Caenorhabditis elegans: one gene and its partners. The protein of the gene in region 1 interacts with the protein of each later gene in a pairwise test. Each region holds a gene or a part of one and is shown in the gene's direction. Other genes may lie near its edges.

What was found.
Region 2: the proteins of skr-7 (region 1) and F55C9.11 interact in a two-hybrid assay, tested with the Caenorhabditis elegans proteins (one large-scale study listed by BioGRID).
Region 3: the proteins of skr-7 (region 1) and gipc-1 interact in a two-hybrid assay, tested with the Caenorhabditis elegans proteins (one large-scale study listed by BioGRID).

The regions. Positions count from the first base shown.
Region 1 is NC_003283.11:4,420,653-4,423,558, forward strand, and holds skr-7 (Skp1-related protein), read left to right. Parts: upstream 1-1,774; coding exon 1,775-2,359; downstream 2,360-2,906. Other genes in the region: Y47D7A.2 (Extensin-like), read left to right, coding at 1-36; skr-14 (Skp1-related protein), read right to left, coding at 417-923.
Region 2 is NC_003283.11:19,306,012-19,311,678, reverse strand, and holds F55C9.11 (F-box domain-containing protein), read left to right. Parts: upstream 1-1,987; 5' UTR 1,988-1,991; coding exon of another isoform or gene 1,992-2,077; 5' UTR 2,078-2,081; intron 2,082-2,122; coding exon of another isoform or gene 2,123-2,216; 5' UTR 2,217-2,310; coding exon of another isoform or gene 2,311-2,972; 5' UTR 2,973-4,095; coding exon 4,096-4,181; intron 4,182-4,225; coding exon 4,226-4,313; 3' UTR 4,314-4,349; intron 4,350-4,395; 3' UTR 4,396-4,672; coding exon of another isoform or gene 4,673-5,038; 3' UTR 5,039-5,085; downstream 5,086-5,667. Other genes in the region: C43D7.8 (F-box domain-containing protein), read left to right, coding at 621-697, 742-861, 908-1,025; F55C9.15 (F-box associated domain-containing protein), read left to right, coding at 4,673-5,038.
Region 3 is NC_003281.10:4,869,215-4,872,862, forward strand, and holds gipc-1 (PDZ domain-containing protein), read left to right. Parts: upstream 1-1,563; 5' UTR 1,564-1,625; coding exon 1,626-1,660; intron 1,661-1,714; coding exon 1,715-2,012; intron 2,013-2,059; coding exon 2,060-2,800; 3' UTR 2,801-3,047; downstream 3,048-3,648. Other genes in the region: C35D10.3 (uncharacterized protein), read left to right, coding at 63-198, 392-684, 729-882; C35D10.12 (Methyltransferase type 11 domain-containing protein), read right to left, coding at 3,353-3,508.

The DNA.
Region 1 (2,906 bases):
CAGCCAATCAAGAGATTCCAACAGAAGAAGCAATAGATTTAGTAGTTTTAGTGCAAATTGCACTGTGATTTTTTAAAACTTGAACAAATAAACATTTCATAATTCAACTCATTTTTCTCAACTCAACATCAACTTAGAAATGTTATGTGTGAAGCAGTAACAGATTTTTAAAATTGAACTCATGGTGAATGCTTTCAACATTCTCCAAAACTTGCATTGAATGGTGTGGAGCATTTCCAAAAGTTTAACAAAATCACCCGATGTTTTTGCATCCAAGACCAATTTTCAATAAGAAAAATAATCGATGTTTGATTACAAGTATGGTGTTCTTTTTTCAAAATTTTGAACATAAATTTTATTTTCAATCAAAGTGGAACATGAAAAGAAAAGAAAAAAGTCATTAAAACATCAGAAAATTAAGCAACTTCTACGGCACCTCCCTCAGCAGCATCCTGTTCGTCCGTATTGATTCCGAAAATCTCTCTGAGTTCAGCTGTCGTTTTGCCCTTTGCCATGTTGGATACAGTCTTACAACCATAGTACATAAGACCCTTGATGTCAAGGAAGTTTGACGCCAGAATCAAATCGAACAGAGCTTCATCCTCAATTTTCAAGAACTTTTGATCCCATTCTGGAATGGTGAGGGTCTTGAGAACATTCATATTGTCCTCTGGAATTGCATCGGCGTTGTGCTTCTCACACCATTCAGCGACCTTCTCCATAGTCTTTCCATTCACATTAGTAACTGGAATTGGATCACGGGTCTCAATGTTTTCAATGGTATAACCGAGATTCTCAATGAGATTGCTGAGAGTCTTCGATTGTTGGACGGCTTTCTCGCTCATTTTTGTCACGACTCCATCGTTTGAAATGATCTTGTAAAAGATTTGGGCGGCTGGAGCATCGGAAACTGGAGCAGACATGGTGATGAGTATGTCGATTCTGAAAATTGAATTCTTAGATTGCGAGATGACTGGAAAATAGAAAATAGGTAAAGGTATCGATGGCAAACCTAACTGACTAGATTTAAACTAAAATTAAATGAGATTTTGGAAGATTATCGGAGTAAAAAAAAATTTTGACGTCACCTACAACAAGAGTGTAATAAGGTTGTAAGGCAGGCAAAAAAGGATAGAAACAGGAAAAGCAGATAGAAAACACCAGATCCAAGACAAGGAAAATTGCATAATGAATGGGTGAGTACAGACAATGCACACCGTTCTGTCAGACGCGCCGTTGAAAATGAATCGATAAGTTGCACAATGTGTTATAGAGTCCCCTCAGCCGAGCTAAAGACGAAGAACAGCTGCAAATATAGTAGTGTGTATGTACATTTTCCAATCAATAACTGACTTACCGCGCGTCCGATGGGTTACATTTGCAGCGTTCTCGTCGTTTAGCGAAAACAGTCTGTTCGATGGTCATTCTGTCGTTTGGCTCTCATCGCGAGCAGTCGCAATTTATTTTCTCTTACTTTTCTTTTTTCTTATGTTTTTTCCTCGTTTTCTACAGTCCTGGTCAAAAAGATATTCCTTTTATTTAGCAGTTTTGATAATTTTGAAATTTTTCAAATGGTTATAACTCTACTAAAAATGCAATTTTTCGTGAAGAACGAATGTTGAAAATATATGTGAACCAAAATTCAATTCTTTCTCGGTAGTTTCCCATTTTTCATTCTATCATTCCGCAATTTTACTCTCTTAAACTTCATCTGCACTCTTCAGCATATCTATATTGATTTATATCTTTCCAGAAATCACCCTAACTTTCAAAAATGTCTGCTGAAGCCGCCGCCGTCGAAGTTCAAGCCAACGAGGCTCCAATTGTCGCCCCAATCATGTACAAGGTCGAATCAAGTGATGGACAAGTCTATGAAATCAGTGATGAAGCAGTAAAGCAGTCGAACACCCTCTCCAATCTGATTTCTACATGTGTTGCCAATGATGTTGCTTCAATGGATCCAATTCCAATTACCAATGTCACCGGAAACATCATGAAGATGGTCATTGAGTGGTGTGAGAAACACAAAGGAGAAACACTTCCAGTTGAAGATGACAGTGTTCCCAAGAACATCACTGTTCCAGAATGGGATACCAACTTCTTGAAAATCGACAACGACGTGCTCTTCGACTTGATTGTTGCCTCCAACTTCCTTGATGTGCCTGGATTGATGAGCTATGCATGCAAGATGGTCGCCAACATGGCTATCGGAAAGTCCCCTGATGAGATGAGAGTTCTCTTTGCAATTCCAACTGATGAGGAGGATGAAGCTGCCGAGAAGGCTGCAAAGGAGAAGGCTGAAGCTGAGAAAAAGGCAATCACAGAGAAGGACGCAGCTGAACCATCAACTTCCAAGTAACTCCCACGTTCTAAATTTTCCGAGTTTTTGATCAAATAAATTCATTTCGCTGTCATTAAACGTTTTTAATCAAAAGAATTGTACGTACAGAAAAAAGTGTTGTCCTAAAATGATAAATTATTGTGTGAGGCTCGAGGCTCAAGGTGGTTCCAAAATACAAATTTATAGAACAAGACGTTTTGAAAATTTCTCGAAAATTTTTAATCATAGTTCACAGGAAGGTGCTGGCTTCCATGGTAGGCAGGGGCGGTTTCAGGGCCTGACGCCTGCCCGAAACCTGCCCGCCTTATGCCGGCCTTTCGCATAGGCGCGGATTGAGGCGAGAGGCGGGCGGAGGTCGCATTAAGGTCAGACAGGCAGGTGTTAAACGCCTATATAGAAGCCCTAGTCCGCTCCTAATTTAAATATTTTTCCGTAGTCGGCCGGGAAATTGTGGTGTTATTTAGTTATTTTTTGGATCAGAATTTTTGGATGTGCAGCAAATTTGCTGTAATAAAATTTGCGAAGAAGCTTCCCAAATCAAAAAATTTTCGAAAAAATGATTTAT
Region 2 (5,667 bases), about 15 Mb from region 1:
TAAAGGGAGGCGCTTTTTTGCGGAATGGTCTTGACGCGCATTAAGTTTTTATTTTTTGCAGTTCCTGTGTAAAATTCGCGTAGATCACGAGTAGATCACAAAATATTTATCTCATATTTCGTATTCGTATGTCTGCTGGCTTTTCATTGTGATCAACAAATTTATTTTGCTCTACGCGAATTTGACACAGAAATTGCGGAAAATGATGACTTAATGCACGTCAAACCCATTCCGCATAAAAGCGCCTCCCTTTAAAGCCGTAGAAGTGGAAAAAAAATGCACTGCACAGTGCGCGCGCTTGCTATGGGTAGGGCTTCCATGGGAGGCAGGCTCGGGTTCAGGGCCTGCCTCCAACCTGCCCGCCCTTGTAGAATTTCAATTTTAATATTTCGCGACGATAGTATTTAAATTTAAATTTGATTTCTACAAACTTACTCACTTTTACAGCTTGTTACTATAAAATACCTGCGGACTAGTGTTCGTCAACAGTATCGTACCATCTGCTACCCTTTAACATATCCACAGCTGGACAGGTCTCCTGTCATGTAAAAAATCGATCATATGCTACTGTGCGCATATGCGTCTAGTCCCATTCATTATTACCTTTCTTTCCTGCCACGATGACGACTTTTCCAATTCTCAGGCTGCCTGAAAAGTCTCTCAAGATTGCGATTCGCTGTCTGACTATGGAACAAATGTAAGATTTTCCGAAGTTTCCAATGACAAACTGTTATATTTTAGAATCAAGTTTTCTCTGATCTCCGAATCTACAAAAAGGACAGCAGAATCGTTGAATCTTCAGGCTGACCCGTTTTGGATTTGCTTTGGTGAATCGGTTCATATATCGGTTCATGCCAATTTGTGAGTTAAACCATATTGCAACAAGTTCACAGAGTATTTATTGCAGTGTAGAAAATTATCAACAGGATATTCCTTGGAACCCCGTGGAAGTTGATCTGAGAACATTGCTAGATCATTTCCAGAGTGTTCTCCATACAAATAAATTTGAGTATTTCTTTGTTTGACGTGATGATCACGATTGGAAATTAATTTATGAAGCTCTTGACGGCTTGGATATTCCTAAGACCAGTCTACAACGTGATTCTCAAAATGTTTGGCTCCACCAGCTTGCCAATCAATTTTCCAGGCTCTCCCTTGAGATCACTATGCCAAATTTCAAATGGTACCGCCCAATGTTGAGTTCACACCGCCAGAATTTGACCGTTGTCGCTGGTTTAACTGATCTTCTAAGTGTAAACTGTGTACACTTAAAAGTGATGCCCCTTATGAGTACAATGGAAGTGAATTTATTCCTAAAGCATTGGATCAAGGGAGCATTCCAGCCACTTGAATCTGTTGTATTTCCTGTTGGAGCTGATATCGACAATTTGGATGAAGTGTTCAAGGGTGTGAAGCTGGAGGTGACAAGCGTATCGGATTTGGAAACACTGCCGATGCGTTTTCCGGATATCAAGTTTGCTGTAGACATCTACAGATTTGTTGGAACACGGGCCACTGTCGTCATTGAAGGCATTCGTTTGAGTATGTACGTTTGGAAATAATTTGTTCTTGATCTTTTTTCTGATAAGATTCCTGTTATAAATGATTTCATGTATATTTCCAGTGTGTTAGTAAATTTGAAGCCAAGCACGAGATGTAAGCTTTTGATCACTTAAAAAAAACCATCCCAGGAAGCCCCATGAATTTTGACTTTGAAAAAAAAAACAAGTTTGTAGAAGCGTACGTTTGAGAAACACTGGGACTACTAGGAACAACTTCAGATGTAATTTTATCGAAATTGGAATGCTTACAATTAAATATTTAAAAAACGGTCAGACAAAATCGCTCGCTGCGTCCACAGTGACGTCTACATGTATTCTTCCATTACGACAGCTGTGAGGTCACTTCCCGCTCGCCATGTAGAAGAAAATCGATAATGCCTCCCTACTGTGCATTCGGTCTTGCACCATTCATTATTAATTCTCTCCTACTTTGATGACTACCATCGCCTCTTTCCCGATTCTCCAACTACCTGAGAAATCTCTCAAAATAGTGATTCGAAGTCTGAAGTTGTAAGAATTGTAAGAACTCCTTTATTGTCTAATCAAAAAACTGTTTTATTTCAGAATAAAGTTCTCCCTCATTTCAAAATCTACAAAACGGACAGCAGAATCGTTGAATCTTCAGGCTAACCCCTTTTGGCTTAACATTGATGGAAGGGTTTATGAACCACATTCTAACCTTGAACCATAACTAATTCTAACATTCTAACATTGCACCACATTCTAACAAGTTCACTGATTTTTTATTGCAGTATAACGTCTTTCTATCACCGAATTTCTTGGTTCCCTCTGGAAGTTGACCTGAAAACATTTCTGGATCATGTCCAAAGTGTACTCCATACGGATAAACTTGAGTCTTTCGTTGTGCGCAGTGATGATTACGATTGGAAATTAATTTATGAAGCTCTTGACGGCTTGGATATTCCGAAGACCAATATACAATGTGACTCTCAAAATGTCTGGCTGCACAAACTTGTCCATCAGTTTTCCAGACACTCCCTTGAGATCAACCTTAGGAACTTCAAACAGTTCCGCCCGATTTTAAGTTCATACCGCCCGAAATTGACTATTTTTGCTGATTTCACAGATCTTCTAAGTGTAAACTGTGCACACTTGACAGCGCGCAGAAATCTGTGTTCGAAGCAAGCGAATATTCCTAAAACATTGGATAAACGGAGGATTTTATGCACTCGAATCTGTTTTTGTTATAGTATACAGAAACCGTGTGGATGAAATTTTTAAGGGTATAATGCACAAGGATACAAGTGCAAGTGCAGAGGACTTAGACATTCTTCCACGGTGGGTTTTGCCAAGAGCTGACTACGCAAGAGATATCTACAGATGTGATGGAAGACGGGCAACTGTTGTCATTGATACTTTATCTTCGAGAATGCAGGTTTGGATCTCGAGATAATTTGTAATTTTCATTTTAATTATGAGACTTTTCCAATGAATGAATTTGCTGACCAATTTTAATTATGATATACATGCAAAATTTGTAAATCAATGGTGTTCAGGAGAATTTTCTGTGGCAAGTTCACCGAAATTGCTCTGAGCAGAGAGGCAGTAGGTTTGACCCTAGGCTGAGGCAGATAGAATGGCTACAGCTAAGGGTCATCGGAAGACGGTCAGGAGCAAGAACGGAGCTCGGAGGAGCCCAGAGAAATAAAAAAGGGTCTAAGCTGATGGGTGATCTCCTGACAAGACCTTTCAGGAGAGCGCTACTCTCACCCACCCAACGCCCCACAACATGCCCCACACTCCCGCCGCCCTTTTCTGTTGCACACAGCTATAGTGGCGCGAGGTCCCGCGTAGCGTCGGCCGCAGTACACAGAGTGTGATAATGCGCAAGCGCGGGTTTGCGGGAGTGGGGCTGGCGTCGTGTGCCCTTTTTGCGCCTCACCTTCGTAGAAGGCCTACACTTAAATCTTAAATATGAGCCCTACCCGGTCAGTAAACGGACCGTTTCGGACACGGTTTTTGGTGAGTGTGACTAGATTAATTGTTTGTTTTTTTATGGTCCCTTGCTTCCTATTTTATTTTGTAAAAATATTGTGGAAAAATTCGTTTGCCAAACAAATGTGAATGTTGTCATTGCGCGGTTTGCGTAACAGCGTACCGTAGTCGCCAAAACACTGCAGCAGCTAGGGCTCCCATGAGATCCTCGTTAGGAATTTTTTAAAGAATTGGAAAAAGGCAGCAGCAGTGTTCCCAGCAGCAGGATAGGTGTAGTAATGAATGAATCTGGGCAAGAATGCACAACAAATTGTTTCGATTGAATATATGATCGAATCCTCTAGTTTCCATTTTTGTCTGGTGATAGTCGAACGGGCCCTTCGTCCTTGGGGAGCGTCTTGAAGAAAGTCTAGCGTCTTGAAGTGCTCACATCGCTCACTGTGCAGACAGCGACGTCTATCATTCGAAAAATCGACAGCTGTGAGGTCACTTCCCGCTTGGCACGTAGAAAATCGGTAATTCCTCCCTACTGTGCATTCGGTCTTGCACCATTCATTATTATTTCTTTCCTATTTTGATGACTACCATCGCCTCTTTCCCGATTCTCCAACTACCTGAGAAATCTCTCAAAATAGCGATTCAAAGTCTGACTTTGGAAGAATTGTAAGAGCTCCTTTATTGTCCAATCAAAAATTGTTCTATTTCAGAATAAAATTCTCTCTCATTTCAAAATCTACAAAACGGGCAGCAGAATCGTTGAATCTTCAGGCTGATCCCTTTTGTGATTTATATTAACAAATGTGTTTATATAGTTGTTAATGGCAAGACAAAGTAAGTTAAACCACATTATACCAAAATGGCATATTATTTATTGCAGTAGAAGATTTGATATTGGTTGGAACCCTCTGGAAGTTGACCTGAAAACATTTCTGGATCATTTCCAAAGTGTACTACATACGGATAAATTTGAGTATTTCATTGTGCGCAGTGATGATCACGATTGGAAACCAATTTATGAAGCTCTTGACGGCTTGGAAATCCCTAGAACTACCCTACAGTGTGACTCTCAAAATGTTTGGCTTCACAGGCTTGTCTATAAGGTTTCCACTGGCTACCTTGAGATCACTTGACCAGATTTCAAAGGATACCGCTCAATGTTGAGCTCACACTGCCAGAGATTGATTGTTGCCGCCGGGCTCACTGATCTTCTGAGTGTAAACTGTGCACACTTGACAGCGTTCAGAAACCTGTGTTCGAAGCAAGCAAATATATTCTTAACACATTGGATAAACGGAGGATTTTATGCACTCGAATCTGCTTTTGTTATGATACACAGAAACCGTGTGGATGAAATTTTAAAGGGTATAATGCACAAGGATACATGTGCAGACGACTTAGACAATCTTCCACGGATATTTTTGACAGGAGCTCACAGCGCAAGAAATATCTATAGATGTGATGGAAGACGAGCAATTGTTTTAATTGGTCATATGTTTTTGAGAATGCACGTTTTGAAATAAATTGTAATTTCGACTTTAATTATGTTATTTTACCAATGAATGAATTTGCTGGCCAATTTTATTTATCATTAAACAATTGGTTATGGTGCATCTAAAAAAGTTCGGTCAAACATATTGCTGAAAGTTCAGTTTTTTGATTCAACTTGAAGCTTCTGGCACTTGGCCCCTTTGTTCCTTTCTTATTTTGTAAGACCCTGTTTTATTTTGTTTCACAATCAATTGTCAGTGGTGAGTATGGCAAAATCTGAGTATGGCGAATCCGCAAACTGGATACAGACTCGGGGGTATTTAAAGGTGTTTAATTTTCATCTAGACATCGTCAACATGAACAATACCACTGTATTGTTACGTGTTATCGTCCAATTGTAGTCTACCATCAAACTTTTGGAGCAAAAGGTTGCCACTACAATTGCCGAAAAAGAAGAGCAGTTGCATTGTCTATCAAGCTGAACAAATTTTAAGCCTGTTCAATCTGTGCTGAGACAATGTGTAACACCCGACGTGCCTATATGATGCGATGTGGCCATTCGCTATGCTCAATCTGTATCAAGAGTCAGACGTAATAATTTGCTAATATTTTGCTAATTTGCTAATTTGCTAATAATCTTCTAATGACCTGTCCATTATGC
Region 3 (3,648 bases), on another chromosome or scaffold:
TTAGAAGCTTTTGTGAGAAAATTTAAAGAGTGTAAACTTCTATCAAACTTCTCTTTTTTCAGTTACGCAATATGCAGCCCAAACTTATGGATGATTGTTGCTTGTACATGCATGACACTCCTTACAATGCTTATGACGTTATATATGAATTGCGGGTTTCGAAGGAATGTACGATGGCTGAAGTTCACTGAGTGGAAGGTTTGTGTTCATTAGATCAGATTGTTAGTGCAGGTTCAACGTATCTTCCTTTTCGGGCCCTGCCTAAATATTTCATCCGACCGAGGCGTAATGATCATTGATGATCACGTAATCGCCATCCTCTTGCAATAGGCGCCTTCCGGTCGAGAGGGGTGAGCGTGAATTGTGAAGCTCACTTCTATTCATATTTCAGCTCCAGCAACTCGCCGAACGTCTCCGCATTCAAGAGCCAAATGTAGGTCTTCTTATGCAAGTAACCAGAAAAGTGAATGATAAGAAGAACAGTGATAAGAAAGAATTCGACTTTTTCAACAATCGAGATCAAAATAACAATATCGCAGGAGCATTGAATGAAGTGGCAAGTAAGACAAGTAATGGCTCAATGGGATCAACGGATGTAGTTGCTGCTCAAATCAGAAAGGCGAGAGATGAAGACGTAGAGAAAGTGTTGCGGGAGAGTAATATGGATATTCTTACTCCTGATGTGTATGTTTTAAGTTTGAATTTTCTGAAAATGATTATATTTTCAGCCAACCCACTCAACCAAGCACTGGAGGATCTCAGAAAATTCTGAAAAAGTGGACAGGAGCAACAATAGATCTCTTCTCGAAAGATGAGGATGAGAATGAAGGGAAAGGAAAAAAGGAAAGAAAAAATAAAATTGATCGAACTCAAGAGGATTGATTTTTAATAAAGATTTTTCATTAAAAAATTCCCATTGGGTTTCAATATAAGAATTTCCTGCACCATAGTTATGGCCCAGGAGCCAGCCAGAAGTATAGTCACAAAGCGTATTATCAGGTCTATCAGTATTCATAGAGAGTATTCATACTTCTGGTTTTTTTTGTCGCTACTTGGGCTGATATTTCAGTTTCACAAGATACATTCCCAACCATCACTATTCAAAAGTCGACGGGGCTCCTGCTCGGAAAAGTTTGACAAAAGAAACCCAGGATAAAAAGAACTGCTTCAAATAAATGATTTCAAATAGTTAAAATCACAAAAAACTAGATATCAATTTTAAATCGCTCGGCTCCTCCGATGAGCACATAATCCTTTTTGAGCTCATGAAGAGTCCGCAGCCAATATTTTTAGGGCAAGTCTTACGGGTACGGTAGTTGAACAATTAACTCGTGTTAAGATCTGGAAATTGCCTCGATATTGAGCAAAAATCGAGAGAATTGTTTGCGATTTACTTTAGTTATACGTGTTACAGTTTTAAAACAAAATGAAGAAAAACACGAAAATTAATAAAATTCGAAAGTTATATTTTTAATGAACTTCCTCAGCGTGGCACTCTAATTTGGTTGGCATCTAAGCTCCGCCCACATCAATGCCTATAAAAGATCAGTTTCTTGATAAAATGATTCATTCATCGATTTAACACCAACTCACTTCAACTAGTACAACTACTAACATTCTCCACAATGCAAGGACAAGGATCACCATTCTGCCGTTCTAGGTATGTATTACATGAGCCCGAGTCTTATGTCTCAAGTTACCATGAATATTTTAGAACCCGCTCGAGATCTCGTGGAGCTTTCAATCGTAGCTCCAACCACGGTTCAGTGCTTCCAATTCAGCCTGCCGTATTGGATTCAATTGCCGAGGAATCATCGTCTACTATCATGACAGTAGTCAATCCTTTGATGGTGGCAGCAAGACAGCTCAAATTTGCTTGCCAGATGGCTCATGGAAGTCCAGTTGGAATCATCGACAAATGGAACAATATGGAGGAATTGTATCAATCAATTGCCGATTGCTTTACAATTTCAAAAGATGATATCATTTTCCTGACAGTCAATGATTTTAAGGTTAGTTTTGACATAAATAAGTCAAATTCTTATTCTAAATATTTCAGCCAGACATGAAGAACATGTTCACTGGAACACTGAACTTCAAGGATATGCTCTTCGCCCACATTCGCGGACAAGCAACCGAGCTCCGAGTCGTCAAAGATGCTAAAAACTTTGGAGTGACAATCACGGACAACGGACTCGGGAATGCATTTATCAAGGTCATAAGCCCAGATTCGGTGTTTGATCGTATGCGTCCAGCCACTCAAGTTGGTCAACTCATTGAGGCGGTCAATGGAGAATGTGTGCTCGGGAAAAGGCATTACCAAGTTGCCCGAATTTTGAAAAATGTTCGTCGCGGCGAGGAATGCGTGGTTCGATTGATTGCTCCAAAGACTGCTGATCCAGGAACCATGAAGACGACTGGAAAAACTGGCGGAGGTCTGGCAAAAGGAACCATTCGTTTCAAATCGGAAGGCGGATTTGCTGTTGAGGATGTTCAAGATCAGATGATCCAAGCTGAGATGTGCGGAAAGCTCAATGAGATATTCGACCAATACTTGGGAGTTCAAGATGATCAGCTGGCCATGAGAATCTGGGAAACTGCTTCAAACTGCGAGACGCTTTTGCAACTCAGTGAAGCCATCAAAGAGTCGGAGCTCTCAATGTTCGATTTCCCGGATGGAATGGTTTTCGATATGTGGGGAATCATCGGTGATTTGAAGCGGGAGCAACGTGAGAAGAAGCCATCCCCAGTCATGAAGAATGCGATTTCAAGACCATCGGCTATGAAACTCTTTGAGTAACTTTTACTGTGGAATAAATTATTTTAATCTCCGAACTGTCTTAAATTGGTTTAAAGTATATCCCACTAACTTTTCAAATTTATTCGATTCACAAGACTTGAAAAACACTCTTTCCGCTGCTTAGTTCGATTGTTTCATTCAGCACATCTTATTCTCCAACAGGCATCCGCATTTCATAAGCCTCTAGAAAATCATAGCATTCATCGATTCCCAGTTTAAATGCTGTTTAAATGAAGCTTCAAATTTATTTTATTTTTCTTTTGTCAAAATGTTTATTTTAAAACAGCGTTTTGTCAAAAGTATGTATTCAATTTTATGCTTTCCCATTGGTTTCTCATTGGAGCTCTCGAGCTCCAAATGTCCGTTACACCATGTCCACCTGCAACCTAGTTAGAAGCGAAAGATAAAATCTGCATAAACTTCAAACGTTTTGTATTAATTTGTAAGATTTTAACGCTTATTTACATAAATACAGTTTATTTTTTTCGAGATCATAAGATTTAGTTCTCAAACGAACTTTGGATATGTGCAATACGAGATGATTCCTAATGTTCATGGTCGAATGACATTTGCCGCCACTTTTTCAGCAATTACACACCAATTGCCATGTTCAAAAGTTGCTGAGACGACTTTTAGACTCTCCACGGAATCTACTAAATCGGCAAGTTCACCGTCTTTGAAAACATGATAGAAGCGGTAGAATGTGACCTGAAAATGGAAAATTATTAGCTGAAAATCTCTTAATTTAATTGTAAGTAAAATCGCAGCTTGGTAATCCTCGTTAGCTTTGAAGTTTAAAAAGGTAGTTATAAGCTTTTATGTAGGTCCAAAAATGCTCACGAATCTGC